Cricetulus griseus: one gene and its partner. Each later gene encodes a partner of the first gene's protein in a complex. Links are inferred from orthologs where the notes say so. Each region holds a gene or a part of one and is shown on either strand. Other genes may lie near its edges.

What was found.
Region 2: the proteins of Micall1 (region 1) and Ehd1 are in contact, whole or in part, in an NMR structure (PDB 2KSP), measured with the Homo sapiens proteins. The link is inferred for Cricetulus griseus from reciprocal best matches to the Homo sapiens genes MICALL1 and EHD1. Residues at the interface, in NP_203744.1 of Homo sapiens: Lys422, Tyr424, Asn425, Pro426, Phe427, Glu428, Glu429; in NP_001269373.1 of Homo sapiens: Gly464, Ala467, Lys468, Met471, Asn478, Leu481, Gly482, Trp485, Lys486, Lys492, Asp493, Gly494.

The regions. Positions count from the first base shown.
Region 1 is NC_048595.1:376,243,540-376,253,865, reverse strand, and holds part of Micall1 (MICAL-like protein 1), read right to left. Parts: intron 10,011-10,326; coding exon 9,953-10,010; intron 9,219-9,952; coding exon 8,854-9,218; intron 7,657-8,853; coding exon 7,250-7,656; intron 4,079-7,249; coding exon 3,944-4,078; intron 3,498-3,943; coding exon 3,371-3,497; intron 3,240-3,370; coding exon 3,149-3,239; intron 3,041-3,148; coding exon 2,967-3,040; intron 534-2,966; coding exon 419-533; intron 240-418; coding exon 193-239; intron 1-192. UniProt on the Homo sapiens protein: Lipid-binding protein with higher affinity for phosphatidic acid, a lipid enriched in recycling endosome membranes. On endosome membranes, acts as a downstream effector of Rab proteins recruiting cytosolic proteins to regulate membrane tubulation.
Region 2 is NC_048596.1:53,053,082-53,063,407, reverse strand, and holds the end of Ehd1 (EH domain-containing protein 1), read left to right. Parts: intron 1-1,706; coding exon 1,707-2,119; intron 2,120-4,520; coding exon 4,521-4,685; intron 4,686-5,097; coding exon 5,098-5,622; 3' UTR 5,623-7,215; downstream 7,216-10,326. UniProt on the Homo sapiens protein: ATP- and membrane-binding protein that controls membrane reorganization/tubulation upon ATP hydrolysis. In vitro causes vesiculation of endocytic membranes. Acts in early endocytic membrane fusion and membrane trafficking of recycling endosomes.

The DNA.
Region 1 (10,326 bases):
AGGGAATCCCCTGGCTTCCCACCCAACCTGAGCCACAACTACACTGCTGACTGCCTCCCTCATTTCATTTGGCTTCCCAGCAAAATAGAGCCTGGGACTTCACATCACAACCAGTCATCCCTACAGGACGGAACCTGCTCAACCTCCATTTCCAGGTTGCAAACACAGGCCCCTCCACAGGGTGAGCCTCACCTTTCTTCCTGATCATAGCTTCCAACATCTTGTCTTCCTCCTCTTCCCTGGGGTGGAAAAGACAAGCTGAGTGCCCACAGCACCAGGTCATTTGTGAGTCCCTTCCTGCCTCTAGGCCCCACAGGACTGGGCAAGTGTGAGGGAAAGCTGGCAGTGAGGGTAGGGCTAACTTTCTCCCAGGCTCTGCCAGGAAGTGGCTCCACCCATGGGGTCCCAGGCATGGCACCTCTGCCGGTCTTCATCCAGGCAGTTGACAATGGCATTGCGCTGGTCGATAAGGGTCATGAATTCCTGCAGCAGCACCTTCTCTCTGGCCCGATCCTCCTCTGTCCAGTCCTTTTCTGCCAAAGGAGAAAGCCAGAGTGAGTGATGGGGAACCTTGTCTTCACAATAGCAGACACACCACCTGAGTTCCTGGGAAGACTGTAGGCCATCCATATGGGTTGAGAGGAGGGCCCAGAGTGCCACTCACAAGCTCTTAGAGAGATGAAGATAGTTCTAGGAGAAAACCAAGAACACTTGGCTATCCACCAAAAACCGTTCAAGCGATACACTGTAGAGCCAGAAATTCTCAAGGGCCTCCTGCCCACCAAACACTGTTCAAGGACACCATGCAGGGCCAATGTGCCCACCAAACACACCATTCAAGGACACTGTGCAAGGCTGGCAATTCTCAAGGGCTTTCTGTATACCAAACATACTGTTCAAGACACCAGGCAGGGACAGCACTCCTCAAAGGCTTCTGACAACAGACACTTGTTGGTGACTTGTTCTTTTTGGTTTTTCAAGCCAGGGTTTCTCTGTGTAACAGTTCAGTTCTGGCTGTCCTGGAACTCACTCTGTAGACCAGGCTAGCCTCAAACTCAGAGATCCACCTGCCTCTGTCTACCAAGTGCTGGGATTAAAGGTATGTACCACCACTGCCTGGTTGTTGGTGGTTTCTTGTGGGAAGCTATATTGGACTGGTTTAAATAGACAAGAATGGGGAGGGAATGACAAGAAACACCCAGAGGCCCACCTGCAGAAGCAGTATGGTCCAAGTCTCACAGAGGAACATGTTCCCAGGGCCATACAGGAGAGGACTGGGGACAGGAGCTCAGCCAGGAGGAGCCTTGATGTCACTAACACTTGCCACCCATCAGCCTCTTTCCTTTTCCAGGCCCAGGGCAGCCTCACAGGACCACCCTCAGGGCCCCACCTATGTCTGGTTTCTCCCACCATCTGCAGGATCCAGGACTGGGTACCCACGCCTGGTGCCCTTATGTGCTACACATCTGGAAATAAACATCTTGAAGCTATCAGGAACTGCCCCATTCCCCTATGACCTCATCTTGCCAAAACTGAGGGTTGGGAAGCCCCAGCCCAGTTCTGGGGACAGAGTATGGCTTCACAGTCACCACCCAAGTTCAAATCCTGCTCTGCCTTTCTTCTACCTAGATCCTGGTAAGCTACACTCCTAATCTACGTGTAGGAAAACTGAAGCTTTGGAAAACGAAGCCTTTGGCCAGCAATGCCCAGAGAAAGTAAGACCGAATTGAACCCAGGGAGTCTGACCTCCTACATGGTAGTCTTTCTTGGTATCTATGGACCCAACTCCCTCAGGGTCACATAAACCAGTTTCATCTTCAAAAGCAGCATCAGGGAGAAGCTAAAGGGGACAGATGACAGCCACAGCCTTGAGGCTGATGGTTTCATACCCACTCTAGTCACACTGGGCTCCTAAGTGGTGGCCATACCCCCAGCCTCCTGCTGAGTTGGAAGTGACTCACAGTTGGCAAAAGAGGCCTAGGACATTCTGTGACTTGGGGTCACCCCAGACTTCCAAGTTCCCGAGTCAATGGAGAGGCAAGATTCCAGTCAGAGAGATGGGAGACTGGTGTTGAGGACAGGCACAGGGCAAAGTCAGAGCTAGCAGCTCTTACACAAATAAAGAAACCCTGGCCTCTGGGTACATTTCTCTCTAACCTAAGCTGTGAAATATTGTGGGAAATTACCAATACGGAGTCAGGTAGAAATACAAGGGTATTTAATAGGGAAAAGCCTTTCTTACAGAGCAACCTAGCCAGCCGGCGTGGTAGAGGTCTGTACAGCAAGAAGCAAAGAGAAACCGAAACCGAAACCGAAAACGCAGTCCCACTACGTCACTCTGACCACGCCCTCACAAGCCTGGTCAGGCACACCTGTAGCCAGCCCCTAAGAAGGCGTGGCTACAGCTTTCCCTACAGTGAAATGGCAATGGCGGCCCATCACCCAATCCTGGCATGATGTCACAACAGAGGAAAGAGGTCAGACCCTGGATCCATCCATAGCTCTGTGGTCTCTACTAGCAGCTATAGATCAGTGCATCACACATACACACACACACACACACACACACACACACACACACAGAGGAAAGGGCAGTTGGTGTCATAGCCACAAACAAGGAAGGTCAGTCGTTCTTCTACTCCATACCCCAACTCATCCCTTGACCCAATTGAAGTTCCCATTATGCCTGGATCCCACAAATAGTGGGTTCTAAGAGTCAAGCTTGGGTCCTCGTACTTGCACAAGCACTTAGTGACTAAGCCACCTCCCCAGACCTTCAGAGTTTTATTTTGTTTTTCAAGACAGGGTTTCTCTACGTATTCCTATCCTGGCTGTCCTAGAACTAACTCTATAGACCAGGCTGGCCTCAAACTCAGAGATCCACCTGCCTCTGCCTTACTAGTGCTGGGATTAAAGGTGTGTACCACCACCTCCTGGTTTATTTTTAATTTTTTAAGATGGCTCACCTGGCTTGTTGAGAAGGCACCGAAGTTCAAACTCCACATCAGCCTGGCGCTGCTCCAGGTTCTGCTGCTTGACACTAAAGGGTGGGACGAAGAGGAAGTAAACACTTCGGTGAAGTACGCCCGCCCCCCGCCCTGTGCTGTCATGGCAAAGGGTGAAAGTTCCCAGGGCAGCCTGGACTCACACATAGATGAGCTCTGACTCTCGCCGCACTAATAGGTGTTTCTCGTGGATAAGCTTGAACCAGTCCACCAGCATGTTGTCCTCACTTCCCTCTGGAAGCCAGATCCCCACTGAGGCCAGAGCTCGCAGCTGAGGGCCCCATCTGAGGGCCTCCCCCCCCCCAAGCTGAGGGCCTCCCATCAACCCATAGCCCTCAGCCAGCTCCTCTCTGCAGTTCCCGCACCATTTGCTCCTCCACGCAGCTTCTCCTCCAGCAAAACACCACGGTGTTCCAGGGCATCCAGCTGGCGCTCAATAGTGTCCATCTCACCATAGATATCCTCCTCAGGGATATACTGGTCAGCCTGGACCTGCCCAACAACAAATACTCTAGTCACCTAAAGAGAAGTGGCCCTCCCCTCCAATTCACAGGGTCCTTTGGCCACTGCAGGCTCTAGGAACCCAGGTCCTGTCCCACAAGGTAGCATGACAAGAAAGCAGCATAGGAAGGGGCCAGAGAAGGGGACAGGCATGACCAAGGGTCTGACAGACTCCCAATGAGATGTCCAAGTTCCTACTCCAGAAGGAAGCCTTTCCCTTTGCTGTCACTCAGGAGTTCCTTATGAGACAGTGAGCTAGGTTACAGAGCACATTGGGGAAACCTTCTGAGAAGCATAAGTTTCTCCTAGCACCATTGCCCCTGGCTACATAGGATACCTAGGCTAATAAGTTCAACCTTCCAGCAGAGCCACCAGATGACTAAGGCTGCTGAGGGGAGGGTGCTGGGTCAGCTGGGGCTCAGAGTGTCTTGTGGTACCTTGCGTTTGATGAGTGGAAAGCCATGTCCAGGGGCAGGTGGCCTCATGGGCTTGGCTCCTTTGGTGGCCTTCCTTACGGTTGGAGATGCAGAGGGAGACGGCTTCCTGTTGAAAGGGTTCTCCTTGCAGGAAGACTGAAGGGAGAGACATGACGGATGGTTAAGTCTGAGAAGTCTGATCATACAGGAACATGAAAGCAGGCCAGGACCCAAGGAACTGGAGGATGAGGACCCAGGCAAGAACAGACTCCCCCAAGTTCCATCTCTCCACACGCATTCAGCAAACGGTTCCATTTCCAGAGTGCTTCCCAGTGTCAGTTCTCACACCATACACACTTTCTGCTCCAGAGCATGCCGGAGTAAAAAGTCTTTGTATGAGTCCAGTGTGGGAGCGCACCCCAGTAATTCCAGCACTCGGGAGGCAGAGGCAAGGACAGATAGATCACTGTGAGTGTGAAGCCAGCCTGGTCTACACAGTGATTTGCAGGACAGCCAGGGTTATAAAGTGAGACCTTGTCTCAATTAAAAAAAAAAAAAATGTAGGAAAGGGGGTGGGTTAAAGGTTGAGCTTAGAAGGTCGGGAGTTAAAATAATCAGAATGCTTTTTTTTTCTTTTTTTTCTTTTTTTTTTTTGGTTTTTCAAGGCAGGGCTTCTCTGTAGCTTTGGAGGCTGTCCTGGAATTAGCTCTTGTAGACCAGGTTGTCCTTGAACTCACAGAGATCCGCCTGCCTGTGCTTCCTGAGTGCTGGGATTAAAAGTGTGCGCCACCACCAGATCAGAATGCATTTTATATGTGTATGACATTGTTCAAAAAAAAAAAAAAACTAAATAAAGTTTAAAAAAAAACAAAAAGAGTGCTTGTCTTAAGAGTGCAAAGCCTTGGGCCCCAGCCCTGGTGCCACACGTGCTCAGAAGCCTCGCTTACTGCATGCCCACTTACAGCTGAGCTCAGTACCGAGAGGTTAAGCACCCAGCTCCTTTGTCAGGCAATGAGGTTAAAGGCCCCGCCCTCAACCACAGTTACAGTCTTCACAGCCAGCTTTCTCCAGTGGAGACTGGAAGGCTCAGAGAGGCACAGTGCCCCCACCTAGGGTCACCCAGCCAGGAAATCCAACAGTAGGACTCCTACCCTCCCTCTACCTAATAGATGAGAGGCGATTCTCCCCTCCCTACTCTCTCCTGCCTACCACAGACACATTTAGAGCCTGGCTCTGCATCTTTCTTTTTCTCCAGAGACCCCTCCCCTTGGAGACCAGGGCCCTGCCTTCCCAATAGTGCCCTTCAGCTTAAGGGAAGCAGGGCTTGCAACTGAGGCCTCAGCTTCCTTGCACCTAGTGTGTGGGGGAGGCCATGCCCTTAACCAGTCAGAACAAGTACCTAAGCCAGAGCTGGAAATGGTAGGACAAGCATTTGGTTTCATGAGGTAAGAGACACAGTGGGCCTGAGGCAGAGACTGTGTGGTCACCCACAACCTGTTTCCTGCTCCAACTGCCTCTGACATTCTCTCCTAATCCCAGAGGTGAGAGTGGGATTGGGTCCCTTAGGAAGACCCTGGGATTCTGCCCTCTCCCTCTGTATCAACACAGAGAGGGAGTCCAGTAAAGCCCATGGCCTCTGAGTCCTTCATGCTTTTTCAGCCACAGAACATTCTTTTTTTGTTTTGTTTGAGACAGTGTTTCTCTGTGGCTTTGGAGGCTGTCCTGGAACTAGCTCTTGTAGACCAGGTGAACTCATAGAGATCCACCTGCCTCTGCCTCCAGAGTGCTGGGATTAAAGGCATGTGCCACCACCGCCTAGCCCACAGAACATTCTTAAATGTGTGTCCTGTACAACCCATGCTTTCATTACAAAAGTGGAGCTGGGCAGGCTGCAGACATGGCTTAGTGGTTTTTTTGTTTGTTTTGTGTATGTGTATGTGTAATACCAAAAACAAGATTCCTTCTAAAAAGTTGTATTTTTCTCATTGATGTGCTTTGGCTTTGTCATTTTTCAGGATGGTGACAAGGATATTCTAGCCCTCTTTTGTATTGCTGGGCACTGTGGCTGGGCAATGAAGCTGGCTTGTGTTATGATAATACACGTGGGGAACCTTGGCAGATTCCATGGCAGGAAAGGATGACCGAGGCAAGGTGGTGATGGCGGGGGACACAAGACAGAGAGAGAAAGAGGACAAAAGAGGGAGACAGGAAAAGTCCTGTCTGCCCCAAGGGTACAGCGGAAAAGAGAGCGGTAAAAACCTGGCTTAGTGGTTAAGAGCACATACTGTTCTTCCAGAAGTCCAGAGTCAGGGTCCCATATCAGGTGACCACAGAACCCGTTAACTCCAACTCTAGGAGGTCTGACACCCTCTGGCTGCTACCATAGGCACTATGCTCGCATGCACAAACCCATACCTAGATACACATAATTTAAAATGAGATACCCAGAGGTTCTTCAGAACACTCTAGAAACTTGGCACTAATCAGTAGCTTACTGTCAAAAGCAGGCCTTCTCAACATCACACAACAGGTAGCAGAGCTGGAAGTACCACACCTACAACAGGAGTTGTGGCCCAGGGAGGGTCAGTCTAAGAAACAAGTGAACCTGGAACTACAGAACCCGTCAAAAGCCAAATGGCCAGACAGTGGCCCAGCTAGACCTTTCTCGTGCCCACTTTACCTCTGAGAGAAGACAGAGCCTAGCAAGGGTCTAGGGTTGGCCTGATCTGTCCTTCATAAGCATTCCCTCACAACTCATAAAAGAGGAACCCAGGAAGGTGTGCGTCCTGAGCCCCTAAGCCTGATGGGGCATTTCAGAACCTGCTGGCCAGACAACGGGCCAGTCAAGAAGAGAGACCACGAGGCCTGTGTGACCTCAGGAATCCAGGTGTCCCCCCAACACAGGACATAGTCAGCAAGGGCCAGTTGCTTCACGACTTCTTGGCAAGACTACAGTCTCTGGTGAAGGAGTCACCTTTCCTACCGTGTTTCACACCCATCACAGTTTGGAACAATCATATGCCTGTCTCCCCATGTAGACTGGGTGTCCCTAGAGGGCAAACACAGGGTCTTAATGAACATGCCCAATGCCTGGCATCAGTGAGGCCAGAAGGTGATGGGATAGACAAGGTGTGGGTGTCGGGCAGAGGTGTAGACAGACCCCACTGTCAGTAAACAGGCTGGTGAGCAAACAGACAGAGGGATGGACAGATACACAGATCAGAGTCTCACACAGGTAATGATGGGTAAGTCCACTCATTTGTGCCCCAAGACAAGCCCCACATCCACTAGCTAAAAGGCTGCTTCTGACATCCATGGAGCACTCACCTTGATCTGTAGCTGTGGGGATGAGCTCCCCAGGGAAGGGGCAGGGCTCCGGTCTCCAGCCAATAGGAAGGGGGTGGGGGTAGCACCACTGCAGGGCTTGGTGGCCTGAGTACTTGGGCTGCCTCTGGTCCTGGCCTGTGGCATTTGTTCACCACTAGGCTGCCCCTGTTCCCCAGAAGGTGATAGGGAAGAATTGGCCGAAGGAGTGACAGAGTTCCCAGATGTGCCAGGGGTACCAGGCATGTGCACGGCAGGGTCTGAGGAGCTCTTGGGTACAGCAGGCGGCTCCAAGGGCTCTGCATTGGCAGTGTGACTGGAGCTCTCAGAGGACAGGCTCTCCACACTAAGGGCTGGCGATGGTGTGGCTGAAGGAGGCTCTGAGTGTGACAGGCGGGAGGCATGAAGAACTGTTGGAGCAGAACAGCAGAAACATTCAAGCGGTGGATGGGACTTCTGTCCTCCCCCGACACACCTTGCTCCCAGAGCTGGGGTAGCCCTGGACACCAAGCTCTTCCCCATCCGGATAGGCAAGAGGTCAGAGAACACCAATCCTATTCCAGATCCCACATCACAAAGGCACTCAGCCATCCGACCCCATCTTGTACCCCTGATGCTCTAGTGTGCCACCTTGTGGCACATTTATGGCCCTAACTTCCTACCCAGAAAGACAGCTGCCTTCTACTCCCCCCTCCCATGTGCCCCATGTTCCTCTCACACCCAAGCCCACTCAAAGGCAAGCTGCTGGGGCAGATGAAGACGCAAGTACAGGGAAGGCAGGGAAAGGAGGCTGGCCTCCGTCTCTGGCACAGAAACTGGAAAGAAGGCAACAGCAGAGAGTGGGGGCAGCACCTGCAACAGCCAGTGCTGGCCCAGGCACTGCCAGGCACGGCTTTCTCCTTCTGCAGATGACATGGACTATGCCTCCACGGCCATCATTGTACTTCCTGGATGAAGTCAGATTCAGCAAAGGATTCTCCCTAGCTAGGGTCATCTTTAGACACAGCATGGTCCAACTTGAGCTCATGCCCCCATTACACCAAGCTCATCCAGCAAGAGGACCCAGGGCACAGATAGCAGAGCATTTGCCTCTAACTGTTCCTGGCAGGTGCTTGGTCCCACAGAGCTTTCAGCCACACCCCTAGGAGTGGGAAGGGGACCAAGAGTTCAAGACACATCTGAGGTTGGACCAAAACAGCATGCTGGGGCAAAGGGACCTGGAACTGACCCCCATCTCACACATGAGACAAAGGCCAGATGAGGGAAGGACCAAGCCCTACACAGCCAGGTAGGAGCCAAGCTGCTCAGTGGCTAGAGAGACAAGACACACGGAGGCAGGGTTCAAGTGAACCCTGCCTCATGCCTTTCAGAAGCCCAATGGAGGGCTGTGCCACGCCCTCCCTGACTTCCACACTGAATTGGCATAACAGGAAATGTTAAAAGCTGGGGTTCAAATCCTGCCTCTGCGGCTTCAGCACTGTGCCTCCCCTATGAAGTGGCAATAATGCCACCCTCTCCCAGCCTGCTGTAGGATGAAATGGGAAATCATACACCCACATTGTACAAAACATAGCAAAGCCCCCTGCACCCTCAGACCTAGCACTCACCAAGTGGGGAAGCACTAGGTGCTCTCGGGGCAGGGCGCTTCTTTGTCTTGGGGCTGCTGGTGGGGGTGATGCCATACCAGGGGTGTAGGGGCTTAGGCGTAGACTCTGGTGGGGCTGGGGCTGGGACAGGGCCTGGTACTGCTGGGGCTGACTCCTCTTCCTCCTCTTCCTCCTCAAAGGGGTTGTAGGGCTTGGGATCTGGCTCAGATACTGGGCTCTTCTGGGTCCTTTCTTCCAGGCCTCCATTCTCCACATGTCTGCTTAGTGGCCCAGGACTGTTGCTGGGGGGCAGTGGGGCTGGCTTCTTCTTTGGCTCTGTCTGCACCAGTGTGATCCATGGGGGGTCCTTCCTTGGTGCTGGCATCCTACAGGGAGGCCAAGGCAAGGGGTCAGCCTTCTGCCCTCTAGGAAGTTTCAGTCTGTCCCAGAGGAGGGTGACACTGCCCCCTCTGCTCTCCCAAGCCTAGCCCCAAGGTCAGGCCAGACACACATGGGTGATGGCTGTCACATCCCAATAGGGCACCTTGAAGCCCGAGAAGACAAGCCTTCAATCACACAGCTGCTGTCAATCCAGTCCCCAAAAAGGGACTATGTGACATTTAATGATGTCACCCATTTCTCTATGCCTCAGGCTCACCTGCTCTTTGGAGGCTTACCTAACATTCCATTTCACAGGGTCCAGTGAGTTCTACATCCCACCCAAGTGTGGTCACACACCAGGAACTGCACAAATACTCACTAGTAGGACACTGTGGTCCCTTACCCCTCACAGGTTGACCATCCTGACGAGGACAGCTCTCAAAGAGCTAGAAGCATGTCCTCCCCAGAGTGGCAGGCACAGCAGCTTTGCTTGTCCGAGCCTATCTGTATTCTATGAACAAGGCCTAGACTCCCATGTCATGCAGGAAGCACAAGCTTGAGGAAGCAAAATGACTCTAGAGGTGGCTATCCCCACTCAGAGCACAGGTCAGGCAGATCCGGGACACAGCTTTCCTTCCTCACCCAGAAGGAAACCTCCCTGTGGGCCCAGCAAACCCTTTCCCTACCTGGGCCCTAGAAACCCCCACTCCCACACTGAGGCCTTTCAGAGCCAGCATACCTCTCTGACAACTTGGGTGTCCCTCTTGGCCTGGGAATAGGAGGTTCCTGAAGTCTTCCTAGATGTGAAAAGACAATGAACCAGGCCTTCAATGGTTGCAGAGAGGCACCAAGAACCAGCCAGAGTGCTGGCTTTGCAAGGAGTGTCCTTGTGCCCTACCTGGCATGTCACAGACCAGGGTGACCACAGCCCAGTCCTAGCCAGCCCTCAGGGAGATTAGATAAGGTGGAAGGAGAATGGGAGAATGGTCAGTCAGAGGCTGCAGGCAGACTTCTGGCAGGCCCAACTGCATGTTAGCTGACAAGTACCAACCCAAATCCCTTCAGTCACTTCCGCTATACCAGGGTATCTACCCAGGTGCCATCTCCACTTGG
Region 2 (10,326 bases), on another chromosome or scaffold:
TCTGCTTAGTGTTCTAAAAGATGAGGAATCCTCACTTCTGGGAGCAGTGGAAAAAATGTTTGAAGAGCATAATTGAGATGAAAGTTAAAGTCCAGAAGCCACTGACCTAAGTTTATAGAAAATGGCAGGCTCTGTATGTGTCAGACATGCAGCTTTCTTTTTGAATCCTAGGCTGTGACTCCAGGACATAATCACCACATCTGCATCACAGTCCTCAGAAAACCACAAAAGGCTCATGCACTTTTTCACACCCTTTTTTAATTTTTAAACTTTATTTGGTGTGCATGAACACATGCCACAGTGCAGTTGTGGAGGCAAAGCAGACAGCTTTCTGGAGCTGCTCCTCTTCCTTCCTCTGTGTGTCCCAGGATCATGCACCGCAAGTGCTTTTACCCATTGAACCATCTTGTTGGCCCTAAATCATACTGTTTTTGGTTGTTTTGTTTGAAACAGTTGGATATCTCTTAGGCTGACCTCAAATTTGTTCTGTAGCTAAGGGTCTTTCTGCTTCTGCCTCCCAAGGTTTCCAGCATGCAGTAACCACCATGCTTGGCTAATAGTACTGTTATTAATGGAGAAATTTCAGTTATGTCTCTGTCATAGATGACTCAGGTCACTTTTTTTTTTTTTTCCAGACAGAGTTTCTTTGTGTAGTCCTGGCTGTCCTGGAACTCACTCTGTAGACCAGACTGGCCTCAAACTGAGATTTGCCTACTTCTGCCTCCCAAGTGCTGGGATTAAAGGTGTACGCCACCACTGTTGGGCCTCAGATCACTTTAATTGGGTTGGGAAACAGCACAGAATACGAGTTAGGACTGGAGTCTACCCAAGTCAGCAACTTGATTTAGAGAAGCATTTAAGACCCACAGAAAAAGGAAGTGGTCTATGGTACTTTTTAGGGCTTGTTGGAAAACAGAGGTCAGTAGACCTTCTGGGAGTGTTGGGAATTGGTATTGTCAGCTATGTAGACCTTTTAGTTTCTGTTGCAACAATTGAACTCAACTATTACAGATAAAAATTGGCATAGACATGTAAATGAATACCTTTGTTTCAATAAAACTTTATTCATTCATACAAGCAAGTGATGGGCCAGTTTTAGTCCCTGAGCTTGCCGGCCCCTATTGTAAAAAATAACTGAGGCTTGCACAAGGATCTGGTGTTTATAGACACAGGTTAGATAGCAGTTACAGGTGTGAGTGCTATTGCTTATTGTCACTACTGTTCAAGGCACACAACTGGCAAGTCTATCTCTGCATTATTACTGTGCTGAGCTATCATATAATCTTAGTGGCTTGCTTTGCCTGAGAAACTGTACGTGTCATATGGGTAAAAGTACCCCTTGAGGCTGGGCATTGGTGGCGCATGCCTTTAATCCCAGCACTTGGGAGGCAGAGGCAGGCAGATCTCTGTGAGTTCGAGGCCAGTCTGGTCTACAGAACAAGTACCAGGATAGGCTCCAAAGCTACACAGAGAAACCCTGTCTCGAAAGACCAAACAAAAAAAAGAAAGAAAAACAAAAAACAAAAAAAAAACTACCCCTTGAGGCAGGAGAGACCAACGAGTCTGCCTTTGGGCTGCTGTACTGTTCAGTTCAGAGCATTTTAGGAATTTACAAAATAACCTCCAGCCTAGAAATTCCAGGCCACATCAGTGCTCAGAAGCACTAGGGAAGCCTTGGGGCCATGCTCAATCCTCTCCTCCCTCAGGTTATGACTTTGCGGCTGTCCTGGAGTGGTTTGCTGAGCGCGTGGACCGCATCATCCTGCTCTTTGACGCCCACAAGCTGGACATCTCAGACGAGTTCTCAGAAGTTATCAAGGCCCTCAAGAACCACGAGGACAAGATCCGTGTGGTGCTAAACAAGGCCGACCAGATTGAGACCCAGCAGCTGATGAGAGTGTACGGAGCTCTCATGTGGTCTCTGGGGAAGATTATCAACACCCCCGAGGTAGTCCGGGTCTACATTGGCTCCTTCTGGTCACACCCATTGCTCATCCCTGACAACCGCAAGCTCTTCGAGGCAGAGGAGCAGGATCTCTTCAAAGACATCCAGTCTCTACCCAGAAATGCTGCCCTTAGGAAGCTCAATGACCTGATCAAGCGGGCCAGGCTGGCCAAGGTAGTCCCTGTGGCTGGGTGAGGGGATTGGCTGCTGCCAGATAGGCCCAGGGGCTCTGGGACTGGCACTTGGGGCCCAGTTTTTACCAAACATATATCACTTAACCTGTGTGTGAAAACCACTGCCTTGTGTACCCACTGTGCAGCCTGCTCTTGACTAAGGTCTTTAACCTGTGTCATCTCAGCCTGTTCTCTCTGAGTCTTATGCCCCACCTAGATCAGAAAATGCAAAGAACATGCATTCGCCTTAGAAATGTCAAACAGGAAGTTACTACAGAACAAAGGAGGCCACCAGGAAGTGGAATGTGCTGGCCTGGTTGGCTTCAACAAACCCCTTGGGTGGGTGTGTGTGTGTGTGTGTGTGTGTGTGTGTGTGTGTGTGTGTGTGTGTACTAGTGTGCTCAGCTTGGCACTGAACAGTATGGACTCACAGGGAGTGACACACACAGCACCATTCAAGCCTTCGTGGGAGAACAATGTACATATGAAGCAGAAACATTGGTGATTTGGTGTTGCTGGTTAAGGTTCTGTCTGAGAGGAGGACTGGGGAGTCATCATGGTGGGATAAAGGGACCTGGGAGGCCTGCATGGGACTGGTGTGTAAGCTGGGACAAGAAGTAGCTAGAAAAAAAGATGGGTGCCAATCTGTGGCCCAAATAGTGCTGGATGCTACAGTCCAGACCCCTGGTGGCTGCTTTCTGCACAGACAATATAAATACCCTTTCCCATCGGTGGGAATGTGGGCCACATCCAGGTGCAGCACCACCTTCTGAGGTCCTTAAAGCCCTGGAACCTTAATGGCAGCTAAGCCTATGTGAGAGCCCAAAATGGCCTGAGCTAGGGAGTGGAGATCAGTGCCACCTCTGGGCTTTAGGGTATCCGAGTTTCTGCATCATGGGTTGCCTAGATAAGTCACTGGGGGGGCTGTTCAATGATGGCTCAGGTGACCCTTTGAATAGGAAGGCTTGACATGGAGTGGGTGGTGCGGTAGTGACCCTGTCCAAACACTGTTAACAGGGTTCCCATTGTCAGACTAGTCTGGAGGCTGAGGCAGGAATATACCTTGAACACTTGGCCTGAACAATTGTCTCAAAACACAAAAGTGGGTTTCTGCCTGGCCCCTCCCTTGAAAGGAGTTGACTCAAGAGACCTGTCATGTGAGCCACCTAGTCTCCAGAGAGACATCTCAGAGGGCAGGGTGTTTACAGCTGACTGGGGCACATGGAGAAGTACCTGTGGCCATTGAGACAGTCACTTCAGGAGCCTTCCCAGCCATCCCTGTTCCATTGCTGTCTGCATACTAGATACCAGGCACGCACCTCTGCCTCAGGGCCAGTCATAAAATATTTGGGGGGTTCCCTGGCCAGGGCAACCTAGGCTGATGCTTTATCCTTCACTACTGCCAAGTATCTGCCATTGTCACTCAAGTACCCCGGCTGACAAGGTAGCAGGGTATGGCATTTCCCATCCTCTTTACAGGGTACAGGGGTGGGTTTTTTGTTTTTTTCCAGTATCTCCAAATGCCTGTGTATGTAAGGTCTCCTCATGAGCTGAGCCTAGCAGTTCTGAGAAAGGAACTAATAAGAACTCTCATGTGACTGCCCAGGCTCCTAAAGGAGCTACCAGGTAGTACACAACTCTTGAGGCTACAGTGTCCACAACTGGAAATCCTACCGTCTCCAGTGCTGTTCCACATGGTTCATATACCACTGCTTGCTTTTCCTGGAGTGAGAGTGACTCATTGGCTTGTGCAGGCAGAGCTGTGACTGGCTTTGGGTGACCTGCCTACCTTGGCTTTCTTGGGAAGGCCTTGACACCAGTCCCAGGACCCGGGAAGGGCTGCTCCTCTTGGATGGTTTTGGGCCATCCAGTTCCCTGGACTGGGTAGGTGCTGGGGGCAGTTGAGGAGAGCTTTCATTGAATTTTCTGGTTCTGAGTTGTCCGGGCCTATTCTGGTGACACCTGGCTTATTGCTCAAGTGGGATTGGGACTCCTGAGCACTGCACAGACGCATGCTGGGATGAGGCTTCCCCACCACTCAGCTCTTGGTGGCTGTCATGTGTGTTGTATTGTTGGGAAGGCAGTGCAGGGAGAACACAGGTAGAAAAATGGGCAGAACTGAATTGTAATTCTGTACAAGAGTGTCATCTGTCCTCTGTTTGAAGTGCCCTTTCCCCGCTTCCATTCCCATGGCATTGAGCCCTTGTCATACCCCTTGTCAGAATTGTGTGTCACTCTTAGGCCTTTGGGTTCTTGTGATAGTGGCTTCACCTTTTAGCTTGACTTTGACCTTTCTGCTTCCCTCTACCCAAGCAGTGAACTTTAGGCACTAGAGGCCTCGAAGACCCTGAGGGCAGTGTGCCAAGCAAGTCTCTGATGCCCACTGTTTCCTGTCCCTTCAGGTCCATGCCTACATCATCAGCTCCCTCAAGAAGGAGATGCCCAATGTCTTTGGGAAAGAGAGCAAGAAGAAAGAGCTGGTGAACAACCTGGGAGAGATCTACCAGAAAATCGAGCGGGAGCACCAGATTTCCCCCGGTGACTTCCCGAGCCTACGCAAGATGCAGGTACAGTCTCCAGACCAGATTCTGAGCGCTCTGTGTGGGGCTGAGGCAGGCCCAGGGTGCTGGGCAGTGGTTCTGGAGGGAACCACAAAAGGAAGCAGCTGGGTTAGTCACCAGTTCCCCACCCGAATCAGAGTTGACCTAGGTCGAGACACTGACACAAAAGAGGGGAATGTGGTGACTCAGCCTGGGGGTGCGGCATGGCTGTCGATGAATCTTCACTGCGGCCTGGCGAGGATGGGCACTGCTGTGACCTCATGAGCAGAGTGAGGAGCCCGGCCTGCAGCACTAGCTCAGCTGCCTGAGCTGCCAAGTGGGAGCTCTGCTCTCCCTACTTGGGCAGCCTGGCTGAGTCCACTGCGTCTGGAGTCGAGGAGGCTGCCCCACCAGGCTTTTCTTTCTCCTCCACTCACAGGAACTCCTGCAGACCCAGGACTTCAGCAAGTTCCAGGCCTTGAAGCCCAAGCTGCTAGATACAGTGGATGACATGCTGGCCAACGACATAGCCCGGCTGATGGTGATGGTGCGCCAAGAGGAGTCCCTGATGCCCTCACAAGCTGTGAAGGGTGGTGCTTTTGATGGCACCATGAATGGGCCCTTTGGGCATGGCTACGGCGAGGGGGCTGGCGAGGGCATCGATGATGTTGAGTGGGTGGTTGGCAAGGACAAGCCCACCTATGATGAGATCTTCTATACACTGTCTCCTGTCAATGGCAAGATCACTGGCGCTAATGCCAAGAAGGAGATGGTGAAGTCCAAGCTGCCCAACACGGTGCTGGGGAAGATCTGGAAGCTGGCTGATGTGGACAAGGATGGCCTGCTGGATGATGAGGAGTTTGCTCTGGCCAACCACCTTATCAAGGTCAAGTTAGAGGGTCATGAGCTACCCTCTGACCTTCCTCCACATCTCATCCCACCCTCCAAACGGAGGCATGAGTGACAGCCATGCCTGACATACCCCAGCCCCCAGGGCTGCTGGCACTTTCTACCCGCCAGCTCCTTGCCTGCCTATGTGGGCCTGGGACTGGAGGGGCAGAGAGGGGGAGGGAAAGGGTCACCATTTTTCAAGGTCCATAAAGACTGAGCGGTGTTTCCTCAGCTCTTGAATAGGAAAACCACCATCTTTCTTTTAAGGCTGTCCGGGGTTCAGTGGGAGGCATGGGTGATGCTTGGATGTGAACAGTGGGATTTTGTGCACAAGAACCATGATATTTTTAATATATAATGTTAGGGGCAGCCTTCTTTCTTGCCTCTTCCTCTGTCTGACAGCCCCACACTCAGCCTCTCCCTACCCCAGCCTTGCCTTCTGCCTTGCCCTGGCCAGGCAGCAACAGGGACTCTGGGGAACCCCTCTCACAACCTACCCTGGCACACTCTTGTGGCAGCTGCCTCAGGACTGTGCAGACAGGAGAGCCCCCGCCCCTGCCCCCAGCTCCCTCAGTTTGTTTTTAGACTGAGGTTTATTCATGGGGCAGTAGCTGGCTTTCTCCTAGTGCTTGAGTAAGCTGTTCCACATTTCTGCTGTGGTCTGGGGGGCATGCCCTCCTTTACTTCCACACCCTGTCTCTGACATCCCAGCCATCATAGCAGCCACAGGTAGAAGACCCAGCCACTGTTAACTTTTGTGGGGATTGGAGAGGTTAGAGACAGTGTCTTCCAGGAAAATACATAAGCTAGGTATTGTTCTGTGACACTTTATACTTGACCCAATTTTCCAGTAACTCCCACAACACTTGTTCAAAGCTGTGATTTTTGTTTCCCTTTCCTATACTCCAGCCTTGGATCGGTTCCACCTCACAGCCAGCATAGAGCAGACCCCTTGGGCTTGAGTTGCCTTCTGGCTGAGGGGAGGTCATCCCAACTCCTGCTCTGAGGGGTCTGAGGGGTCTGAAATGTACTCGCTTAAAGTCAACCTTCATGGCAGCTTCCTGGAGCCCCTGACTGCCTTGGGGTGGGCAGTGGGCCCTGTGACCCGGGGTGGTGTGCTGGTAAGAGGAAGCCTGTGGCCTGGTCTGGGTGTAGTGTCCAAGCAGCAGGATAGGGGAAAACCCAACCCCTTCCCTCACCCTCTCATTTCCTTCCTCCCCTCCTCCCCTGCTGAGCCAAGGAGGTCTGGGTGTTCTGAGATCCCCAGACTGAGCAATAAGAAGCCAGAGCTAGCAAGTGACCACTTTGGCCACCTCACTGCAGCCTCAGGGACCTGGACACGCCCTATGGCCAGTGGTTGGCTGTCAGGGTGGGCTTTACACTGAGGTGGTGGAGCAGCTGCAGCCTGCTCATCTGACACTGCCGGTGGGCTTCAGGGAGCTGCCTGCCATCACCCAGCCCTGCTCTGGGCCTTGCTGGGGCTGAGCTCCAGCCTGGCCTGTTAGCTCCTTGCCTCGGCCTTCCATCCCTGCTGTTGGCTGAGGGTAGGTGAGATGTCCTCACAGGTCCACTATGTAACGTCCAGCTAGCTCGGTCCTCACCTATGGGGAGAGTGGCTGAGTGAAGACTTTGTTCCTTACATTAAAGAAAGTTTAATTGTGCCAAGGCTTTTTGTGCTCCATTGTCTTTTCCCTGGCCCTGGAGCCTTTGCAAGGGTCCCCCAAGGAGCCCACGACCACCCACCTGCTGTGCAGGGTTGAAACTGGCAGGACTATCTGGAAACTGAACTTGATGGTGCACATTCATAGTCCCAGCACTTGGCATTTGGAGGGAGGACCAAGAGTTCAAGGTCATCTTGGACTATATGAGGGACTGCCAAAAAATCAAAACACCAACAGAGATTGACAGCAAGCAGAGTTTTATGTTGGGCCAGCTTCTGCCATCTCCACTCAAGAGTATGTTAGCCACAGACTGGTTAGTATGTTTAGGATTGGGAGGGATCTTCCAGGGCTCCTTAGCCACCTGACTCCTCACTTGCCCCAAGGCAGGTTTGGAGACAGCCCAGCCAGCTCTGAAGACAGACAAAGCAGACAAAATCCACAGTTCTGGGTGGGGTTGGTTACAGCCAGCTGATGTCACAGATAGGGGACCTGTTTATGACAAGAGAGGAAAGGATGACAAATTGGGAGTGACATGCCCGGAAGGGTGCAGATGGGAAGTAGGGCTGGGGAGAGACTCTCTAGGCAAGGTTAGGACAGAAGTAGGGACAAACAGGTGTTTATCTCTGAGCTAGAGCTGCCTCCAGGGTCCTGCTGCAGCTAAGGCAGGCCTGATAGTCCAGGCGCCATAGACTTGACACAAGGTAGCATGGTTTGCCTGAGTTCTGTGTTCTTCTATTTTCAGATTAAGGGCCCAGGACAGGGCAACACATGCAGCAATGGTAGCCAAGGGGATTCAAACTCAAGTCCACCAACTCTGGTCCTGTTCTTGAGGCAGTTCTCAGGGAAACAACTTTTAAAGCAAAGACTGTGTCTGGATTCCCAGCTCACCTCACCCTCAAGCCACTTCCCAGTCTCAAAAAGACTCAAAGCCGCCATTCCACCTGAGGTTTTAGAAGCTTGGGACCATCTGTCAGCTTTCAGAAATGCCCTGCGCTTGCTCAAGCTGTCAGCACCAAAGAAAACAGGTCCAAGCAGCTCCCTTGAATGTGGTAGGACCCAGCTTCACCCCAGCTGTGGGGCTCATGGTATTCTGTCCACTCAGCCCCATCCCTCTCAGGTGATTTCCCCCAAAGGATACCCAGATGGTGCCCACTGAACAAGAAGTTTGAGGGAGCCAGGTGGTGGCGGTGCCCACCTTTACTCAGGAGGCAGAGGTAGATAGATCTCTGTGAGTTCAAGGCCAGCCTGATCTACAGAGTGAGTTCCAGAACAGCCAGGACTGTTTCACAGAGAAACCTTGTCTCAAAAATAATAATAATAATTAATTTAAAAAAAAAAAGATTGAAGGGGGCTGGAGAGATGGCTCAGATGCCTGTTCTTCCAGAGGTCCTGAGTTCAATTCCCAGCAACATGGTGGCTCACAACCATCCGTTATGAGATCTGGTCCCCTCTTCTGGTGTGCAGATATACATGGATGCAGAATGTTGTATACATAATAAATAAATTCTTTCTTAAAAAAAGGCTGTCTTGAAAACACACACACACACACACACACACACACACACACACACACACACACACACACACACACACACACACACACACTCACACACCAAAAAACTTTCTTAAAAAAAAAAAAAAAAAGATTGAAGGAGAGCAAAAGCAGGCATCGCCTGACTGCTGCCCCTGAACTCAGGTAAAGTGTTTTGGTTCCACAACTTGAACTCCTTTGGGCCATGTGGGATTGAAGGAGAGATGTCCACCTGTAGGGCTGGCCCTTACCCCTTTGCTCCCTTGTCTCTTGTCACCTTGCTCCCTTGCCTCCTTTCTAGTTTCCTAGAAGCCAAAATCTATCTAGAAGCAAGTTCCACCCTGTTCCCAAGCCCTAGGATAAGAGGCCTTTAGGACTGTCTGTCATCCCTGCCTGTCATCTTAGTCTACAGCACCACACCAATCTGAGACCAAGGAGGCAGGGAACCACCTCTGTGCTGCCCATGCCAGCTCTGTAGTATAAGGAGGGTTCTTGCAGGACCATTCTCATGGCCAGTGGGCTAGTAAGAGGACAATGGGGACAGAGGGATGGAGAGAGGACTTGGCAATCTAGAGCACTGGTTGTTCAAGAGTCTCCGGGTCTGATTGCCAACACTCACATGGAGGCTCACAACCATCTATAACTTCAGTTGCAGCAGATCTAACACTGGCTTCTAAGAACACTTCTCGAATGTGGTACACATACATGCAGGCAAAACACCTATACACCTAAAATAATCTGCACATATGCTTTAAAGCTTGTATGTATAGCACTCATGAGACACTGGGTTTAATCCCCCAACACTGCAAATAAGTAAATAAATGAATCAGTTGCTAACTGTCAGCTTCAAACAGCAGAATTGACCAAGCAGCAGCATGTTTAAATTCTAGCTCTGTTACTTGCTGGAGCTGAGCCTGGTTTTTGCCTTCTAAGCCCATTCTTTGGGCTCCAAAGAAACCTGTGCTCAGCTTCCTCCCCTGAGCACCTTGGGAAGGGATACTCAGGGTTGTAGAGGATGTGGGGAACATGGTACCCCACCCAACACCCAGAATAAAACGGGACCCACCCTTCCCTGAAGCAGCTCAGACAGGGTGGCGCCCATGAGCTACAGGGGTGCAAGGTAAGGGGGCTCTGGCCTGGCTTCCTGTGCACCCAGAGAGAGGAGTAATTGCAAAACCACATGGGCTGCAGCTGAGCAGAGCGTGGGAGCCCCTGTGGTGAGCTGGAGCAGCACAGGGGAGGGTTTGAGAAGAAAAGCCAGGATGATGAAATCACCATATGTCCACCCATTTGGAACATTGGACATTTCACAGGAAATACCCGTAGTGTGGCCGGCAGGGAAGTGTTATGGGAGCTGACACAGGTTAAAATTTGAGGGGTCTCCACTGGCCATACAGAAACCTTCAAACAAGCCCTGAGCAGCAGAGGCAGGGCTATTGAGCTCCCCAAACCATAGCTATTCCTAGATAGAAATGTCAGACAGGCCAACAGGAGCCCCATGCCACCTCATTTTCTCTAGTATCCAAGCAGGTGCCCCTCTCCATTATATGTAAAAAGTGATCAGAGAGAGGGTAAGGACTTGCCC